Oryzias latipes: one gene and its partners. The protein of the gene in region 2 interacts with the protein of the main gene of each other region in a biochemical or structural test. Links are inferred from orthologs where the notes say so. Each region holds a gene or a part of one and is shown on either strand. Other genes may lie near its edges. The genes, in order: ATP-binding cassette sub-family D member 1-like, pex19, ATP-binding cassette sub-family D member 2, pex13 and abcd3.

The links.
Region 1: the proteins of pex19 (region 2) and ATP-binding cassette sub-family D member 1-like form a complex in vitro, tested with the Homo sapiens proteins (3 studies listed by BioGRID and IntAct, with this or other methods). The link is inferred for Oryzias latipes from reciprocal best matches to the Homo sapiens genes PEX19 and ABCD1.
Region 3: the proteins of pex19 (region 2) and ATP-binding cassette sub-family D member 2 form a complex in vitro, tested with the Homo sapiens proteins (3 studies listed by BioGRID and IntAct, with this or other methods). The link is inferred for Oryzias latipes from reciprocal best matches to the Homo sapiens genes PEX19 and ABCD2.
Region 4: the proteins of pex19 (region 2) and pex13 form a complex in vitro, tested with the Homo sapiens proteins (2 studies listed by BioGRID and IntAct, with this or other methods). The link is inferred for Oryzias latipes from reciprocal best matches to the Homo sapiens genes PEX19 and PEX13.
Region 5: the proteins of pex19 (region 2) and abcd3 form a complex in vitro, tested with the Homo sapiens proteins (4 studies listed by BioGRID and IntAct, with this or other methods). The link is inferred for Oryzias latipes from reciprocal best matches to the Homo sapiens genes PEX19 and ABCD3.

What each region holds. Positions count from the first base shown.
Region 1 is NC_019865.2:30,246,659-30,250,709, forward strand, and holds the start of ATP-binding cassette sub-family D member 1-like, read left to right. Parts: upstream 1-1,241; 5' UTR 1,242-1,587; intron 1,588-2,181; 5' UTR 2,182-2,265; coding exon 2,266-2,406; intron 2,407-4,051. UniProt on the Homo sapiens protein: ATP-dependent transporter of the ATP-binding cassette (ABC) family involved in the transport of very long chain fatty acid (VLCFA)-CoA from the cytosol to the peroxisome lumen.
Region 2 is NC_019875.2:3,245,576-3,249,656, forward strand, and holds the start of pex19 (peroxisomal biogenesis factor 19), read right to left. Parts: upstream 2,811-4,081; 5' UTR 2,783-2,810; coding exon 2,719-2,782; intron 1,646-2,718; coding exon 1,557-1,645; intron 1,454-1,556; coding exon 1,291-1,453; intron 1,208-1,290; coding exon 1,107-1,207; intron 1,044-1,106; coding exon 870-1,043; intron 790-869; coding exon 619-789; intron 58-618; coding exon 13-57; intron 1-12. UniProt on the Homo sapiens protein: Necessary for early peroxisomal biogenesis. Acts both as a cytosolic chaperone and as an import receptor for peroxisomal membrane proteins (PMPs).
Region 3 is NC_019881.2:636,237-640,466, forward strand, and holds the start of ATP-binding cassette sub-family D member 2, read right to left. Parts: upstream 2,805-4,230; 5' UTR 2,776-2,804; coding exon 1,840-2,775; intron 676-1,839; coding exon 495-675; intron 171-494; coding exon 49-170; intron 1-48. Other genes in the region: c23h12orf40 (uncharacterized protein C12orf40 homolog), read left to right, coding at 3,732-3,754, 3,821-3,860, 3,953-4,103.
Region 4 is NC_019873.2:7,361,714-7,365,926, reverse strand, and holds pex13 (peroxisome biogenesis factor 13), read right to left. Parts: upstream 2,803-4,213; 5' UTR 2,706-2,802; coding exon 2,632-2,705; intron 2,133-2,631; coding exon 1,408-2,132; intron 1,194-1,407; coding exon 1,071-1,193; intron 980-1,070; coding exon 633-979; 3' UTR 158-632; downstream 1-157. UniProt on the Homo sapiens protein: Component of the PEX13-PEX14 docking complex, a translocon channel that specifically mediates the import of peroxisomal cargo proteins bound to PEX5 receptor.
Region 5 is NC_019878.2:5,064,011-5,067,521, forward strand, and holds part of abcd3 (ATP-binding cassette sub-family D member 3), read left to right. Parts: intron 1-1,122; coding exon 1,123-1,200; intron 1,201-2,319; coding exon 2,320-2,385; intron 2,386-2,642; coding exon 2,643-2,732; intron 2,733-3,194; coding exon 3,195-3,314; intron 3,315-3,390; coding exon 3,391-3,495; intron 3,496-3,511. UniProt on the Homo sapiens protein: Broad substrate specificity ATP-dependent transporter of the ATP-binding cassette (ABC) family that catalyzes the transport of long-chain fatty acids (LCFA)-CoA, dicarboxylic acids-CoA, long-branched-chain fatty acids-CoA and bile acids from the cytosol to the peroxisome lumen for beta-oxydation.

The DNA of each region.
Region 1 (4,051 bases), on a different chromosome or scaffold from region 2:
CCAGAACTTTTAGGGCAATCTGCAGGAACAAAGTCAGCTATAAATCCAGATCCAAATTTAGAACAAGGTCCAAACCCAGGTTCAAATCTGGATGCGGGTCATCAAAGTGAAGCAATAAACAGAACTGCAAGTTTCAGTTTGGACCTTAAACAACTTCAGGATGAAAAAATAAATAAAAAAGACAATCAGACAATGATGTCATTGGGTTATTGATTTGTTTTCTGATTGACCAGTTCATCAGATGGCTTGATCCAGTTTTTGTACAAAGTTACAGTGGACTGACTGTTTTTATAATTTATTAATGAATGACTTTACAGCTTTGTTAGTGTTATTGATGTTGTTATTGACAAGACCGCATGTGCTACACACCTGTGCTGTTTTATTAAACCTCTGCTGTCCTACACACCTGTGTTGTTCAAGCCTGAGCTCTTTAACACACATTTGCTTTTTAATAAACAAGTGCTGTTTAAATCACCTGTATGACTTATTCGTCTTTGCTGTTTAGCTCCCATTCACTGAAGCAGAAAACAGTGCAGTTGCAGGTGTTATGCTGGTACTGTCCTGTTCCCGTGCTAACTCTCATGTCATGTGGTTGATTTTTGATCAGGTGTGGCTTGTCTCCTTAACCCTTGTGCTATCCTAGGCACTTTACCATTGGGAGTTGGGTCATCTAGACCCACTACACAGTGCTCTGAACCTTTTTTCTTCAATGATTTGTGATCTTCACTGGTGTCCATGGATTACATGAAATCTTTCCACCTTTATCATGGTAGGGAGAACACGTCAAAGTAAGGGTTGGGGGGGGGGGTCATCTAAGACAGCACAAGGGTTAAACACAATCAAAAAAGTATGTGTGTTTGTTAGTGAGGCTGAATACTCGAAGTTGACTAGTTTTATGGTCTCCATGATGCTACATATTTTTATCAGCACGTGGAGCATTTCCGTTTATCTTTGGACTTGTACCTGTTTCTGGCGGGAGTGGCCCCGCCTGCAGGGGGCAACGCGGTCATCAGGGGGCAGAAGGCTGCGCAGCGCACGGACTCTAGGCTGGTACGTTTTCACGCGGCGGGATTTCCGTGTTTTACCACGAAAAGATCAATATTCCCGCCGGTCACTGTGTTATTACGTCATTATTCGCGCCGACAAAGACGCGGCTGTCACGCGGCTGTGTGTGTCGAGATCCTTTCGAGGGGAGGGTGTGTGTTTGCGCGCGAGTGTGTCTCTGTGTGCGTGCCCACCTGACCTTTCCATAACGAACCTGACCCCCGAACCTACATTTATCTAGTGAAAGTTCCAGGAGGACCAGAACCAGGTCTTACGCCTGCGCGCCGGTCCTAAGGTTTTGTCCTTGACCGGGTCAGAACCTACAGGTCCGGGTAGGAGCGGGCTAGAGGAGAAGCCGTACAGCCGGCTCCGAGACGCTTGAGAGCGCTGTAAGGTTCGGGACTACGGTTCGGTCCGGAGGGTCCAGTTGTTGAAGGCGGGGTTAAAACCGGAACTGTCAGTTCCTGAAAGTTCCTGTTATCCGCTAGCTGTGTTATTACCGCCGCTGACAACAGGTCCGGTCCGGGAGGGTCCAGCTGGACGGTGCGTGTCTGGGCTCGGGTGGGGGGTGGTGGTGGTGGTGGGGGTTTGGAGACAGGGGGAGAGAAAGACAGCTAACGGGAAGTGCGACGGACAGGTTACGCGCACGCGCGGTAAAGTTTTCCCCCTGCCACTCGTTTAAAAGTCAGCGGACAAAAAAGTTCTGCCGAAGGTCAGTCCGACCCAACGAGCTCGGTTCTGGAATTGTGGGTCAGCTGCTGAGTCCATAACGGACTAACCTTCAAGCCTGTCTCGGTTTCTTGTGTTCACGTACGCGCACGCGCTCAGAGTCCTGCTGAGAGAAACCTGGAGTCCGTTTGGACTCCTTTCTGATGGAGGTTCTCTTCATGTCCTCTGGGTTCTGCAGTCAGGGACATTCTGTCTCACTGTGACGCATTTGTTATTGCTGTGAGTCCCGATCGACTGTCCCATTCTGGACCCGATCAGCATCAGCTCTGTGGAGACTCTGTCTGTGGTTCTGGACCGGTTCACCTCTCTGAACAGTTGTGTTCAGAACCTGCCTCACAGATGACATAAAGGTCCACTGGTCTGCAAGTGTGATGTAGCCTCTGACCTGTCATGTTCTCACCTGTGCAGGTGGAGGCAGACGGATGTCAACATGTGTCCTTGACAACGACCTTTGACCTCTCCTTGTGGCCGGCCCTCTGACTGGTCCTGCTGATGGCTTTCAGCATGCAGGTGGCCTATGAGAAGATGCCAGCTCAGCTGAGGCGGAGCTCCAGGCTCAGGAAGCTGTCGGCCCTGCTGCTCGCCGCCTATGCTGTCCGCAGACTTTCTCCGTACCTGTGGAGACGGTTGCAGGTGAGGCGCACCTGCACAGACAGAGGACACAGCGCCGTTGAACCGGTCTGTCTCAAACTCGCTAGAACTTTATCAAAAGAAAAGGAATAAAGGTTCAAAATGTACTGCTTGGAGGGAGTTTTTTTGGTCCACATGCACTCTTAATTAATTTAAGCTAATCTGGTTACATATCTGGACTGAATTAGAGTCCAAACTAATAAAGGGTCGTCTTCCTTGTGTAAAGGCTTTGACTTGACCTTTGCTGTGAGCTGGAGCTCCATAAATAAACTGATTAGCTTTGAGTTCTTGAAATGTTCATAAAGTGTTTTGCTCAAAATAACCGGTCTGACCTTACTTTAACCATCATCACACATAAGTACAACATGCATTACTATTGTACTATTCACTTCTACCATTTGTGCAATGCAAAGGTTTTATGATTCAGATTGGCTAAAGCGCTTGCTTCAACTAAATGACAGTTTGCCTTGACGTTTAACGTCTATCAAGCTTCTTATTATGCAGTTGGATTTGTTTACAGAGACTCATCTCCTTCCTGTTTTCACATGGATGGTGGCAGAGACACATGCTTTATAAACAGTGTAATCGAGTATATTAACATATTACTTGTAGTGAAATGCATTACTAATACATTAATTCTACGCTTGACACGTTCAGTAATGCCTGTATTACACCCATTGACTGTAAATGAGAGCCGGTTGAGTGACTCCTCCCCCTCATGTTCCAAACAGGAAGTGGTTCCAAGAAGCCAAAATCCTTCTATAGAGAAATAAACAGCTGGTACTCAGTCATTCTATTGTTCAGGATAAACATTCTTGTGCTGATGCCTTTTTTTAAACATGTTCTTTTTAATGCTCTTTTCATTTTTGTTTCTGTATTAAAAGTTATTCAAGTTTATAAACTGACCAATTAGATGCCTTAATGAAAGTATGTGGTCTCACGTTCAATATTCTAACTGATTGACTGACAGATTGTCCTGAGCCGGCAGGACAATCTGTACATCTACATCTGTCATCATATTGGTGGTAGGGGTGTGGACTTTTAACCCTTGTGCTATCTTAGATGACCCCACCCTTCCATTGACGTGTTCTCCCTACCATGACAAAGGTGGATAAAGGTGGAAAGATTTCATGTAATCCATGGACACCAGTGAAGATCACAAATCATTGAAGAAGAAAGGTTCAGAGCACTGTCTAGTGGGTCTAGATGACCCAACTCCCAACGTTAAAGTGCCTAGGATAGCACAAGGTTTAACAAGCCCACTGTTGACTCGACCAACTTGGACCAATCACAGCCACGAATAAAAAGATTTGATCATTTGCAACGTTTGATTGAAAGATTTTGTGTAGCCCGCTTTTCAAGCTTCCTACAACCTCACTCCTGATTCACATGGACTTAAAGAGCCTAGATCATGCTGTTCGTAAGCCTTTCAGATAAAACTATATTCATATATATGATCATTTTTTACCTTTGGCACACTTAAGAACAATTTCTTAAACAAAATAACTGTTTTTTTCCTACACGGAGGTAACCCACCTTTCTCTCCTTGAGGGTGTCGCCCGTTTGATGACGTCAACTTAGAGCCGGCCTCAGCAGCGTTTCTATATTTTGCCCACAAAGACAAGCAACAGCCGTTCCTCACTTTGTG
Region 2 (4,081 bases):
AGCCAAACTTACCACATCTCCTGCCAATTCCTTGGGTGGCTGGCCTAGATCCTGCAGCTATAAGGAGATAATTAAACACAAAACAGTTGAGTTCCTGTCCAAAAAACCAAAAACCTTGCATGTTTGAACTAATAAACACAACATTTTTTGTCCATGGATATGCTTAAAGGCGCATTTTTAATAAGCTTACATTAATAACTTAATTTATAGTATAAATTATAATATAATTATAATGTAGTTATTATCTCTGTAAGAAGATAATAACTGGGAAATTTGTGTTTGAAGGGTATTTTTTGAGCTTACAATATCTAAACTTTTAAATGCTGCTTGTTAGCCGTAACGGCAATAACAGTGTGTGTTCAGTGACCTTTTTAAAATCAGTTTTACAGGGAAACAGTTTAGCCATCAACAGTCCCTAAAGATATTAAAAGAGCTTTGCAACCATCACATCCATAAATGATGGACATCCTGCAGCTGGATCGTCGAAAAAGTGATGTGTTGTGACTTTTACTATGATTCAGAATAATGTGGATGATGTCAAAACAGAAAACATAAAAAGCAAATTTAAATAAACAAATCAATTGTAAATATTGTCCCAAAAGAAAAAAGCTGCATCACCTGCTGCATCCGGTCCATGATGCTCTCAAAAGTTCTCTCTTTGTTTTCTACTCCCTGTTCCTCGGCCTCAAAGAGCTTGCAGATATCTCCCATGACTTTGGATTGCTGTTCGTAGCGGCGGTAGTCCTCTGCACTTAAGCTGGGCTTGTTTGCTTGCAGCCACTCTGGGTACTGTGAAGGTGAGACGTCAACGGTCAAAGCTGGAAGAGTGGATTCAGAGTCTGATGGGTTCAGAGGAAACATCTGCAGACCTTAGTGGTGATTTCTTTGAGAGAAGGATACAGCACTTCTTTAGAGAGCAGGTTCTGCATGATGGACTGCATGACGGGGAGGATGTTCCCATCGTCTCCACCCCCTTCCCCACCCTCATCCAACCCAAGACCCTCAAGAGCCTTAACCAGGTCATCTCCAGCTAGACCTGAAGACTGGGTAAAACAAAACAATTGTCATTATTTTCCTTCAAAAGCTTTACACCAATATTCCTTTACGTCTAAGGAGCCAACTTGGAGGTTGTCTGCATTCTTCGCCAGGCCACGGAGGGTATCCTTCAGACAGGAAGTGAACTCCTGCTGGGAAGCTGTGTCTGTCCCTGTTTGGAGCAAACACGCAACTTAGACTGCAAGACCGACACATTCAGTATAACAAAGATTCACAACAAATAACTCCTCTTACCGACTTTGCCTGCTGCCTCTGACAGTTTCTGGAAGTGCTGCAGCAGTTCTGGCTCCTCCTGGGCCAGCTCGGACATGGCCTTCTCCCACTCGTCCCTGGCCTGGGTCGCCATGTCCCCCTCAAAGAGACTCTCAAAGAGTTTGCAGTCCTCAAGCAGGGGGGGCTACAGGCAGAAATGGAAGACTTGTGAAGATCGTACTATTGATGGGGTCTTTCAGTCCAAGCAGAAGGCAGCTGAATCCTAATGAACAGAAGCAGACACAGACCTTCTCTGCACCACTGCTGGCTGAGGAAGAGGCTGCTGCAGCTTCAGGGGCCGGAGGAGAGGAGGCTTTGTCAAAGTCATCCAAAGCGCCTAAAGGAAAAAGACACAGCAGTAGGCATTTATTATCCAAGCAATATATGAAATATTTGATCGATTGCCTTAAAAAAAAAAGCAATACTTTCAGCTCAGTAATTGTTTAGTTTCTGTTTGGATGGTCAGTCTGTTTTACTTTTGATCAGATAATAAACATAAAATGCAGCAGCAGTGAAGAGGTCAAGCTGACAAAATGATAAGTAAGTAGACGCATCTCAATATTTGGTCCATGAATCGATGCATAAAAGGTTCAACTAACTTTGTGGCGACAGGATAAAGTCCAATTCTTTTGACTAAACAAATACAATCTGAATATTTATTATTCATTCAATGAATATTTAAACCTGCATTGTAGGCTGCTTCGTTTCTTAAATAAAAAGGTGTCATATTAATTTATTCATGTATTGTTTTATGTGATGTGAGAAAAATGGTTATCAGAAGAATTTATAACTTCCTGAACAGTTTAACACATTTTTACCCACACTTGTTTGTATCTGTGGTTTTTCAACCAATTCTACTGCGATTCTCTGTGCTTGATCCCTTTTTGATGAACATCTGTATCTTTCTTTTACATCCCTAGTATAAGTTAAGATATCTATCTATCTTATTTGTCAATAATTTCTATTTTAAAACTAGACCTGAACAATAACATTTAAGAATACAGCAGAAGACAAAACTATAAAAGTAACACAAAGCAACCACAGATGACATATTAGAAGTATTTATAAATCAACAAGGAAAAAAACAACAATAAAATGTTCCTGAAAATTTTGACAATATTGTAATATTGAAAAAATAACAACACCTCTTTAACATTTTCTATAAACTATATCTCTATAATCCACTTTTTTTTAAACAATTAATATCCAAAAACATTTGAAAACGGCTTAAACTGGCTTTATTTTGAAGCCCGTGCGAGCTGTCAGTCAGCGATACTTTGGTAACTGTCACTGCTACCGAGCACCTGAAGCTTATACACGGTCATCAGAAGTGTCCAAGCAGCGAAATCTTCCTAGCAACAGACAGACACGTAAAAGGGTGAACCTAATATTCCTTCCTGACGAACTTACTGTCCAGTAACTCGTCCAGTTCTGCGTCTACTCCACCGGACACCTCTTCTCCTCCGGACGCCATAATGCTAAGACAGCTTTGTCTCACAAAATTGACGTTCTGGCTATAAAAAACGTCGCACATACTCTACGTCACAAGCCCATACCGAAATCTGGCACCACCTGGTGGCGTGAGTAGGCATAACAGCTTTTCTCTGCGGATCACATGCAGGAGGATCAACATGTGACGCTTTGTCCCTCATTTTCGTGACCACCGACCGTTTCATCAACTTAAAAACGTAACAATCAAAAGTTCAGTGGCACAGTTTTATGCTCTGCAACTTAAGTGAGTCTTTTTCGGAAATATTTGTCTTCAAAATGTGCTTGAAGTAAAAAAAATATATATCTATACACCTTTTTAAAAAAGAGATTTTAATGTAATCTGTATATTAAGTTCTTTTTAGCATTTAGCAATAAATGGGTTTATTGGCACTCTCAAAATTTTAAATTAGCATAGAAAACTGTCTTATTTTTAAACTATTGCTGTCATGAAACTACAAAGAGGCTTTGGGAGCTTGACCACTCCTCCAAGATGCAAACGTCAGATAAATATTGGCAAAATGATGCTTAAAGGTTTAATCTACCGTTAGAACTGTTTTTTTATTTAATAAATTTAAATCATATATTCTTATCTTCAGCTGTCCTACAGTTCTTAAACGTATATAGTTGCAAGTAAAACTGCAACAGCAGCAAGAGGACCTCAGTTGATACAGGATGTATTTTATTTTGAAAAGAACTTGCTTTTCTGCTGTCAAAAGTTATCTTTAGAAAAATATAGGACTGGTATGATTCTGTCAATATTAATACCTGAAACATTATATAAATAATGTTAAAATACATTTGATCAATGAATGGTTTAATAGTCACACAGTAGTTATCTAAACATTAAAGTGGGACGTTACGGCTCCTGCTTGGTTTTGGACATTAAAGCATTAAAGGGTGCAGACAGGTGTGATTCCAAACACTGCAACATGGTTTGGCAGCACAACAGTTGGAAGTCAGTCTGCAGCACACGAACATTCCAATCAGTAGTAGTGAAAAGTGTCATGCTGATCATGAGGCACCTATCTGATGCTTGGAGCAGACACTGACCCCTGTAGGAGAGTCCATGCTCTCAGCTGTCTGGCAGCACCGGGAGGCACCAAAAAAAAAAAAAGATGCGATAGAAGATTTTTCTTATAGGTACAGAAGATTTGCCACATTTTTTGTGGGTACAACCAGAGCATGGCGTTTAAAACCACCATTTAACTATTATGCCTGAGAAGAGTTGTTGCACCAAAGTATGAATCTCCTAAATACAATTTTTAACATTTTGTTTTGAGTC
Region 3 (4,230 bases), on a different chromosome or scaffold from region 2:
TTAGGGACATTTATTTTCATAGCATCAGGGCTGGGGATGAGCTCATACCTCTTTGTAGGAGGACATGATCCTCTCAATGGCGTCGGCCCCCGAGACCAGGAGGTTGCGGGCCGTTGTGAACGCCTCCGTCCTCTCGCTCACCATGACCTGCGTCTGTCCATCCACCTTTTCTGCAAACACACAGGAACCAGGACCGATAGCTCAGACGCGTGACATCAGGACGGCATGACGGCACGTTTGCATTGACATAAAGGCTTGTGACGATCATGAAACCCAGGTTTGCTTCCTGCTGTGAGAGCGGCTAACCACCATGTTTCACGGATGCAAATCCTCCCCCATGAAAGGGAACCAATGCCTTTCTGTCAGAAGTCGTGCCCTGCAGCATTTTCCTCAAAGGCTCCTAGATTTTTACGGCACACAGTTCAACAGGAACAACAGAAGAGGACTGAACTTGAAGCAAAGTGACTGAGGGGGTTTACTGTGGATTCCCCTACCGCTGTCGGCAAATCCGGTGGCTGTGATGATGGGAACGGCCACCATGACGAGTCCACAGCCACTCCACACATACTTCATGAGGAACTGCTCGATCATGATGTACCAGAGGCGCTTGGACAGGATCAGGTTCATCTGGTCAGCCAGAGCCTTGTAGCACTTCTGCAGCTGACACATCTCCACCTGCAACACACACCTGACCTTCAGACGCACTGCCAGGAAAATGGCTTTCAGATGTTCTCTGATGATGGAGGACATGCTAGTAAAGACAACTGAAAAACGCATTTCTGACTCTCTTTGTTTCAATCGTTGTGAAGACAGATATGCGGTTTGAAAACAATCCTATTTGTTAGGTAGAAAATGAGCTTGGGGGGGGGGGGGCAGGAGCTCCCTGCTCGGCTGGTGGTACAGCCCGTCCACATGCAAATGAATCAGAATGGAGCAGAGCTCGTGGCCCGCTGATGTATCGTCTACATCATACATTTATGGTCTAATCCTGATTCATCCAGCTGTTCACGACTAAATCCTGGTCTGAACTGGATCTGGCTCAGAACTGGACTGCAGGACTACAGCTGGTCCCACTAATGTTAGGCTGCACAAAATGAGAAAAACGTCCAATGTTAGTAATCACTATTGCAATGATGATGAGACTTGAGGGAAAAACAACTTCATAATCCCAGTTTAGCACGAATAAGAGACTGCAATTTCTCTGAATGGGACACAGGGAAGACAAAGAACAACTATCTACCTTTGTGACAGTAAAACTACTATGGTTTAGACCAACGTAGGAAGCATTGGGCTTTTTAAAAACAGGATGGTTTCTCCTAACCCTGTCTGTGCGTGTGTGTAAACATCTAAGGTAAGCGTTGATCACGGTCTTTTGCTAAACGTGTTTCGCACAGTCTGACATCAAGATGCTGACGTTTTCTGGATTTTATTGTGCAGGCCTAGATGGTGTAGGAGTGGCTAATACTAGCAGGAGGGCATGGAAACAGAGAGCTCTCAGTTATGAGTGACAGGAAGAGGGGCGGCGGGATTGAGCAGCGCCACCCACTGCCACTCTGCAGAAACTATGTCCTAGAAAACAACACAGGTTTTTTTATTTTGTGTAGAAATTGCATTTTCACGAACAAGAAACCACTGGGAAGGCTTTGGTGTAAACAGAAAGCTCTCATTTTGGGTGAAGGGGGCCGGGGTTGCTTTGCAGCAAGCTATGACTCAAGAGGCAAGTTTCTAATAAACTACTGTTGCTCTGCAGTAACGTCGCTTGTTTTTTTTTGTTCAAACGGCATAACCATTGGACACAGATGCACATCTGCATTAATGCATGTCCAGACGGCTGCTTGCCTTGTGTCCTCTGTAGAAGGCGATCTCCTCGGCATTGGCGATGATCCGGGAGTGCACGTACCGCAGGAAGCCCTTCCTGTGCGCCTCCTCCGCCACCAGTTTGCCAAATTTGGGCGAGCACGCGCGCAGGACCATCGCCGTGACGCACACCACCGCCCCGGCCAGCAGGGTGGGCCCGGTGGGGCTGGCCCCCCTCGTCCTGGCGGTCTGGATCAGCGTGTAGGAGGTCAGGACCACGTCCAGGATGGGCTTGGTGAGGTTGGAGTACAGGTGGGCCACAGACTGGGAGAACATCATCACGTCCTCCGTGAGCGATTGGTCCGCGTTGGCGAGCCTCCCGTCCATGTTGCTGACTTTGTAGTAGGTCTGGTCGGTGAAGTAGGTCCGGTACGCGTGGTCCACTAGTCGGGTTCGGAAGGCCAGGGCCAGTTTGCACTCCAGGAACCGGATGGCGCTGTTGACGAAGGTGGCCGGGATGGCGATGAGGAGCCATTTGACCAGCTGGAGGATGAAGCGCTGCGGTTCCTTCTCCACGATCGTCTTCACGATCTTCCCGTCCAGGCTGGCCACGTAGATGGACAGAAACGTCCTGGAAATGAGCGCCACGGAGTGGAGGCTCAGCAGGCACAGCTCTTTGGAGACCAGCCGGGGGAAGAGGATTTTACCGAGCTCCAGGATCTGATGGAAAAACTCGGCGTTCAGCCCCGGCGAGGCTCTGGCTCCGGTCCCGGCGCTTTTGGGAGCTCTTCCCGGCACGCCGTTCGTGGTTTCCGCCAGCGAGTCGCTGCGGGGACTTTTGCTTTTGCAGATCAGCTTCCAGATGATCGGATACAGGCTTTTGACGCCGTAAGCGGCGGCCGCCAGGAACACGGCTCGCTTCGCCGCGGCCGTTCGGTCCCATTTCACTTTGGCCGCCGCATCGAGGAGGTTGGCCATCTTTGAGTGTTAGTGTTCTCCGCCAACGCGCCGCATGATGTCCATCCTCCGAGGTCGACGAGGGAAGTTGGCGTAGAGTGAATCCAGACATGTACCGCTACACCGGACGCCTTTTTGTATCAGAGACTAGCAAGGTAAACTAGCTAACAGCTGCACTTCCTGTTGTTCCACCAAAATTAAACGTCCCCACAGAGAGCAGGACAGTGCAGTAGAGTTCCACCTATGCTTTTATTTGATAAAACAGTTCAACTTCCGGTTTTAGCATCATCTTCTTCTTCGTGTTGCCTTTATGTACACTCTCGGTTCTTTATTAGAAACCCCCTCCAGAATCGACTCCATCAGGGTTTGTCCGTTTGCGCAGTTAGCCTATTTTTTGAGAGAAATAAAAACTTTTACCAAAGCTACGCCTACTAAGGCTTTTTTCAGCGCCTTGGTGGGGCAATAGCGCCTCCAATCGGGTGGCGCTGGGAACTGCGTCATTATTTGTTTGGTCTGCCTCAAGACTTTGGTTTAACGGCGCCGCGTGCCAAAAAAAATAAAAAATAAAAATAAGACAATGACATGTGAAGTGTATTAGTACTCTCCGTCCACCGGAGGGGAGTCCATACCGCCGGAAGTATCGTTGTTATGAAATAAGCACCTTGTTTTCTATTGGCCACGACAACAGTTATAAACGCTTCTTTTCTGCTGTATTAACAGTACATTCACTCTAATTTCACTTCTGTAAATACAGCAAAGCAAGTATCACAATTTACCGGTATATACATTTAAAAAGCCTCCACAAGGCACCGAACTATAACCCGATCTTTGGGAATGTATTCGTTCTCATCTAACGGTTGTTCTCTGACGTCATAGTTTTTTTAGCCAATCGGTATCCACCTGTTTTGGCGGTTATTACAGCCCTGTTACAGTTTAGCTAATTCCAGTGACATTTTGTCCATAAATTGTCTTTAAACATGAACTGGGTTGGAGGTTCAAGGTAAGTAAAGTTTAGCATAACTGCCTTTGAGCTAACTAAATGACCAAGAAATGATCAATACTTCAGGAACCGCTTGGTGATGAAGAACAATGCTAAAAAGCAGAGGGTGAGACAACCTGCAAAGAAAATATTTTCAAAAACTAAACTAGTAGGTTGTGCCCAGTAATACTTTATATTTTTTGTTTTTGTGTGTCTTAGGAGTTTTTTGAAAAGAAAAAAATGGAGCAAAAATTGAAGAAGTTGGGCATAAATCTTCCAAATTCCTCGTCTGGAAATGTTGGCTCTGGGAGCACAGACCTGATGACTTTACTTATTGTTAACCAGATCGCTACCAAGAAAGCAAACCAAGGTAAGATGGTGTTAGGCCACAATTATGCATTAGAATAATCTTCTAAATATCTCTGTGGCATAAAAGAAAAAATGCTTTTTGTACCAAAACCTTTTTTTAAAATTATGCTAATACGGGAACTTTTACT
Region 4 (4,213 bases), on a different chromosome or scaffold from region 2:
AGTCGCCCCCGATGTCGCACTGCAGCAGCCAAGGGCGTCCTGTTGCCTGGAAACGAAAACCGTAAATCCAAAATTTCTGTCGTACATCAAACAGAGCTGTCATTTCCACACGCACGCACGCAACATTTTTCGACACAAATAATAAAATAAGACGTGCTTTTTTTTGGTTGCAGATTAATACTGCAAAAAATAATCCATTAGATTTATTTTCAAAATAATTATTTTAAGTATTTACAAAATTACATTGGACTAACAAACTTTAAAATGTGCAAAGCTAGTCTTTCTTATTTCTGAGTGAATCAAATTTCACTTGATCCAAAAAAAAACAACAACCTACAGATGTCCACCCGGCTTCACCTGAGGGTGAAACCTCACATGTATATCATGACATCAACAACCCTTTTACATTTCCCATTAACATACATCAATGCATCCCATAATTGGACTTCACAGAACACAAAGACGATGTAGTACACATCATCTCACACAAAAACGATTCTGAGCCATTTTACTTTAAGAGGAAAACTGTGCTGATGAATGAAATCAAAGACCTACAGAAGAATTGATTAGTGAAATGATAAACTTGAACTGACTGACAGACGATGTAAATGCAACACATGCACACACAGTCGTCACAGGTCCGTCTTTTCAGGGATATTCAACACTGTGTCAGAGCTCATGCTGGAGTTGGATGTTCCCAGAGCGAAGGCAGCTGGGATTTCTCTGTATACTGATTCTAGTAGGTGGTCTGTCGAGGGAGCCATGGAGGCTGTGGAGAGATCTGAAGTGGAACCATGCGCAGCTGCTGGTGTTTGAGAGGCCCGCTGGTTCTCCTCCTGGACCTCAGCGAGCCGTTCCATCTCCGCGTGCTTGCGGCCTCTCCTCTTGCCAAGGACTTTCACATAGTTAGCTGGGACCAGTCCAATTGTCTGGCCATCCACACTGGCCAGCAACCAGCCTCGCACCCGCGGTTGCTGCTCTGCAACCAGAATTTAAATATACCAATTGTTAATAAAGGCAGTTTTATGGAATACTTTAATTAATCACGACACATTTGAGGAAGGTCTCACCTTTAGGGGCCAGGTTTAGCATGTCTCCAGCCCGCAAAGGAATTTCTTCTTCAGAAGCTGCTGAGAAATCATACTCAGCCCGAGCCACGACATGATCGTCTTCCCCGCTGGCCCAGTTTGTACCTGAAAAAAACAACAACATTTCTATTGAGCACATCAAGTAGAAGAAACACGATTACATCAAGATAATTGAATAGTATTATTAAATGAATAATACTTTAATCGACAACTCCACACTGTGGTCATTGGTTTGGTGTTTTTATGATCTTCTGTTGTAAATTCTTCAAACAAACGGAAAAATAAACCAATAAAATTAAGGATTCAATGCCAGCCTTACTATTTTCATCAGAGCTGGGGCTGGAGCTCAACAACTTCCAGATGAGGTAAGGTCCACCCAGAACCACAGCAAAAAAGAGGAAAATAGGCCAGGACTTCACGCTCTGTTCATCCATTCCTGCCTCATATCCCCTGGAGGAACCCGCCACCACAGCATCACTTGTGCTGTCAGCCCACAAGTCCTCCACATCTGACCTCCTCCCCAGCAGCCGCAGCAAACGCTGGTAGAGATACCGCAGCGTGCGCACCAGAGCGAAGGCTGACAAAACTCTAGTGAGGTGAGCACGCAGCCTTGTTAGGTGATTGGCTACGTCCAGCACGGCACGAAAACTGTTGTACACGGCGGAGAAGGTGGCGTCCAGCATCATGCTAACCGAAGCAAAAGCCTGGACGATGCTTTCAATGGACTGGAAGGCTCCACGGCTGCTCTCCTCTGCCTGCTGCACAAACCGGCTGGGGGCGATTTCTTCTGTGTGGGGTAAACGACTGTACCCTCCCGGACCATAGCTGCCACCGAAGCCACCGCCATAACCGCCGCCATAGCTGTAAGGGCTGTAACCCCCATAGATGGAGCTTCCATAGGGGCTGTAAGAGGAGGTGAAAGAGGAATAGGATGGGCGGTATGACTGCTGGAGCGGGCGAGCAGGCACTGGAGGAGCCATTCTGGTCAGAACTGGAGGGCCAGCAGGAATGGAGGAGCCTGCAATTGGTCCAAAGTCTGTCGATCTGTGTGTAAAGAAAGTGATGGAGCTAAACCAGCAGGACAACCAAGAAATCTGAGCAAAATAACAAGACTTTCTGCTTTTTCGTTCTTAATGGATTTAAAACTGCTACTATTAAAAAATCAAACAGAAAGATAATATCTTTCAAAAAATTCATAGCAAAACTTTTGCGTTTATTAAGGCAATGCAACAAATATCTGGCAACTACGGGGGCCTGGCTACTATGCAAACTAGTAGCAACAAGTACTAAAACAAGTCTAAAAACACAGTCTAAAAACAATTAGACGAATTTTAAACATATTTGAAATTAACTAGTGTACCTTAGATACAACTATCCTGATTATAAATCAGTAATAGCTTTAACCAGCGTTTCATATGGTGTTTCGTTCTGTTCTGTAATTGTTTAGCAGTAGCTCCTTTAGCAACGTTAGCATTAGGCTACCTAGGAAAACTTCGAAACAACAACTAATAACCCTACAAATAACTTCCTGAATCTCATTTACCTGTAGTTTATAGGTGCGCTCATACCCCCAGGAATTCGCCTTTCCCACGGTTTGAGTGGGGGCTGTGAATCCATCGCGAAGTTTGTGATGGTTAGCTAAAAAATATCTGTGATGACAGATGTCCTCCTGTGACTTGCCGTGTTGCCTTCCTGAACTCCTTGTTTTTTTCTTTATTCTAAGGGATTTGATTTGTAATATTTTTGTATGTTTCTATTCTCTTTTTTGTGGCTTTTCATGTAACATGTTTTACTTTGGCTGATCAATAATGGTTATTTCAACAAATGAAACACTAGCTTACTAGGTAGTTTACTTTTATCGTTTTGGAATTTCCAATTTATATTGAAGGTACCACTTTAGCAATCGAAAACAGCAAGTCAGGCAAGACTAGTTGATATTCGTACCACAAATCAATCCAAACCGGTCTAAACACTTCGGGACTTCTGAATCTTACTATGTTATTCAATTTGTATAGAGATTTTTTTAAAACAATTTTTGCTTTTTATTATTTAAATTATTCAAAATATGGGCGTATCGATGAAATCAACTCGATTAGTACTGTCTGATCATTTTAATCCACCGAAAATCTCATTTTACCTTTGTCCACCAGAGGGCGCAAAGAATCAACAGAAAAGTGATGGGTAATGACAAAATCAATTACTCTTCTCTCATAAATTTTGAACCTCAAAATAATGTATATTAATAAATAATTTATGAACGATGTAATGACTTTAATACATTTTTATATATTTAAAACAATATTCAAAATGTTCATTATATTTATTTGATCTATTTAGTAATAAAAACAACAAATTGAAAGAGGAGTTTCAGTATGAAACTTATGTTTAGTCCACAAAAGTAACTTCAATATTGTTCATGTTTTTTTTAACTGCCATGAAGGGATGCTTACATATCAAGTGTTTAATGTCTTTAAATTGATCACAAAAGCTTAAAACTGCATCCAGATCTTTATTACATGCATGTATTTCATTGGACGAACAGTGAAAATCTGATGTCAGTTCTTTGCCCCCCCACTAACCAACGTCAGTCAACCCTAGCTGAGATGGGGAGTGGTGAAAAAGGCTGCTCTGAAGAGCCTCAGTGTGTGCAAAGTGAGCTGTGGTTTCAAGAGGGAGTCTCTGTGATGTCAAGTGTGAAGGCAGGAGATGTGGGGGAGCGCGTGCAGAGCTGTCGATTCGCATTCTATCAGAGACGAGCTCTGTGTCATCCCCACAGTGTGGGCGTGTGAGGCCGACTCCGTCATCTGTGGCATCATGGTATTTGGTTTGCTAGATTAAGGTGGGAATCCTAAGTGTCATCTGGTGAGAAGATGCCAGAGTTCTGAAGATACCTGATACAAAGTGGTTTGGTGGGATTGCCTGCGATGCTTTGCAAGAGCTTTGTAAAAGCTTTTTTCTGTTGTGACCTGGTTTTGGACTTGAGTTACCACTCAATCGAAAAGTGGTAGCAAAGCAAACCAAGAGTCCCTTCCTGACTGTAAAACATCATATATAAAAATATCGTTTGTGCTGCATGACTCAATAACCTGAAGAAACATCAGGAGTAAGCCTTGAAGCAACCGGCC
Region 5 (3,511 bases), on a different chromosome or scaffold from region 2:
TCAGAGCATCAGTCGCTTTGCAGAAAAATCTGAACAGTGGTTCAGATGACTTAAGTCTCACTTTAAACCGTTGCCGCACACATTGCACACATGTTGGATCTGTGTTACTAATGCCCCTCGCAAAGAGTGCAAACTCGTCTGCTGTTGCTTTAGGATTTGCTGATAATCCACCCAAAATATTTGCACCTGGATAACAGGTGCAAACAAGATATTAAAAGAAGGACTGCTGAAGGTTTGCTGTTGTTTGCAAACTTTAAGTCAAAACAATGCAGAGGAGCGATGAGTTGAAGTTGTGAGATGGTTGATGCCCAATAATAAAACAGACGGCAGCCTTTAAAGATGATCTGAAGCCTCAAATCCAGAAGCGGTCTTCTGTCATATGAGCTGTGAGGTAAGACACTTGGGTCATTACAGAAGACCCACTCTGCACCTGATGATGGTCGATGGTACCCTGGGAAGTGTAAGGCGGGGGTTGAGGGTTCTCAGCTGCCCCCAGAGTAAAGAAGCTCTGGTGTTGTGGAGAAAAATGAAAGAGATGGAACATGAGGACTGGGAAAAACTGGAAAATAGAAATGACTTGTCAGCAGTATAAAAAATTCTATGATAACACAGTCGATATTTTTTGTGGCAGGCATGCAAATATCTGATGTTCTAAAGTAATCTGACCAATGGCATTGGTGACAGATGAAGATTAAAACCAAATCTCTTGTGTTTGCAGGGTTCAGAGCAAACTCATCCCTGCAACACTCACTGCAAGCATGAACGAAATGCAGCCAAAAGTCTCACATCTCAGTAGCTCTCATTTAGAAGATGCTGATGTTTGTGTGATAGTTTACTTGCGTTATGTCAGTTTCAAATCGGTGCTTGCAAGTTTTCTTTGGATGAAATGTTCTGGGGTCAGAGTCTGAACCAACAAACTACACCTGTAAAGTGGTCAGTTTACCTAAAATGTGTGGGCTGAATGAATATACACTGAGAGCCTAAAGAACGTCAGTTCTGCCCTGGAGATTACAGGGAAGTCTGCAACAAGTCCGGTGGAAAGCCATGCATGCATGTATGTAGATAACTTTGTGATGGAAACGGAATGAAACGGCTAACCTGATCATGATTTGTGTTGTGAAGGTGACGTCGGGCAACAACGTTCTGGTGTGTGGACCTAACGGATGTGGGAAAAGTTCTCTGTTTCGAGTCCTTGGAGAGGTAAGAGTAGTGGTTTGGAATGGAGCTTATCTGAGCATGCTCAGTCTGCACACTGCACCACAGACATGACTTCAGCTTCCTGTCACTGACAGAGTAAAGCTCTGTCTCCACTAACTATTTCATGGGTTCTGCATGTAAACAGGACCTGGGTTTGAACACTGGAGTAGCTGCTCCACTTCATCACTCTGTACATGAATTCAGCGGAGCGCCACAGAGAGTCTCACAGGGGATGGGAGGGTGTTACAGTGATAAATGATGTAGAAATTGTTCTAAGCAGTGGAGAGGTGTAATTACATGCTTCACTTCAAAACTCGACCTGATGGAATCACAGAGGCCAGTGTGACTTTTTAGAATCATTGGATCTGGAACTGTACATTCACACCGACGTTTAGCATATGGCGTTCACACTGGACTGTGGTTACACGATACTAGAGAGGCTTGGTGTGAAACGTCAGAAACGGTGCCAGTCTTGTGAATTTGGCTTTAGGCCTTTTCTTTCACAGCTCTATTCTGATTTATGAAAGACTTTGTGTCAATGAATTCCATCTGGAAACAGACTGCAATTATTCATTTCTCCTCCATGATCAGTTTTCAAGTGGTTGGTATTTGGAAACTATCCATACGTCACTACCAACTCCAAGTCCCTGACTGGCGAAAGTTCATTGGCAGAGCCCAAACTGGTGGAAACCTGCACAGCTATGCGTGAACGTGAGAGTTTTGAACACTGAAGCCCGAAATAGGCATATACGTGCGAACATTGGAAGACGTTGATTGAACATGCATTGCTGCCAACAGGAATTCACCCACTGGACACTAAAAGAAAAGCTTGAAGGGAGTTCTTTGAGTCTCCCAGTCTGTTTGGATCTGCTGAGATTCTGTTACCTGAACTCAAATGCAGAGTGAATTACTGACCCGTGGAATCTCCTGAACCTTTAGGCCTTTAAAACTCCAACAGAAGCCTGGAGCTCAGAGCTTTGGTAGGCCTCACATGTCGCATGGTCTTCAGGCTGTTAAAGCAGCTGGGAGGGAAACGGCTGAACCGTGGAGTGACAGGAGAAAGACTGGTCCTTGAATGCAGACGTAGCTAAGTGACTTGTGTTTCTTCTTCACTGTGAACAGTTGTGGCCTCTCTTTGGCGGAGAGCTCACCAAACCAGAGCGAGGGAAGCTCTTCTACGTTCCTCAGGTCAGTCGGTGGTTGAAAATAGAAAATCTTTAATGAGGCATTAAAAAATAGCAGCCTTGAACATTTTCATTTTGAACAACGTTCAGACTGACTTTATGTTTACTTTCATAGTTTTTTTGTGTATCAAAGACTTGCTTGTTTGTTTTCCCTGAGTTCGGAGATAGAAGGCAGTATAATAATCTGATTTCTCTGAAAGTTGTCCGAGCAGCCTGGGAACTGTCCGGAATATTTCATTCCATTGGCTGCTGTTTCCACAGAGACCCTACATGACTCTGGGCACTCTGAGGGATCAGGTGATTTACCCCGACACCTGTGAGGAACAGAGGAGGAAGGGCATCTCTGATCAGGTTGGCCTTCGTTCTACCTTTGTGCTCTCCTCATCCTCAGCTGCTCTGATGGTTATGCAATTAAACCAGACAGTAAAGAGCTCGTCATCTGCTGAAAAAATAGTTTTATTTTTCAATCGTTCATTCCCTGAGTTAAAATGTTGCAGATGCTGGGAGCTGCTGTCAGAGGCAGCTGCCAATCAAACTTGGCCCCGCCCATTCTGACTATTTCTGGAGTTGTGTGCGGAGTAAGCTCCAGTGAAGTTCACTCATCAGGTTCTGATGGAGGACATCAGAGGGTCTACAGTTGAGCTGAGCTCAGTATTGATGAAGCTGCATGTGGATTCTGGATTTGGATCTTGATGACATGCAGACAACAGATGGCATCTTTTTTTTACATCAGCCGCACTTTCTGAATCAGTGTTGTGTCGAAGTAAATATCAAGTAGTGTCAAGAAATATTTTTGTGTACATCTGTGTGTAGGTTTTGAAGCAGTATCTGGACAACGTTCAGCTGGGTCACATCCTGGACAGAGAGGGTAGCTGGGATTCGGTCCAGGACTGGATGGATGTTCTCAGTGGAGGAGAGAAGCAGAGGATGGCTGTACGGACCCTTCCCTAAGCTCAGTCGGACTGTTAGTGGATTTTTCAAAGTGACTGATAATTGTGTATTTGTGCAGATGGCCAGATTGTTCTACCACAAACCCCAGTTCGCCATCTTGGACGAGTGCACAAGTGCAGTTAGCGTGGACGTGGAGGACTTCATCTACAGTCACTGCAAAACGGTGAGGAGCGACAGAA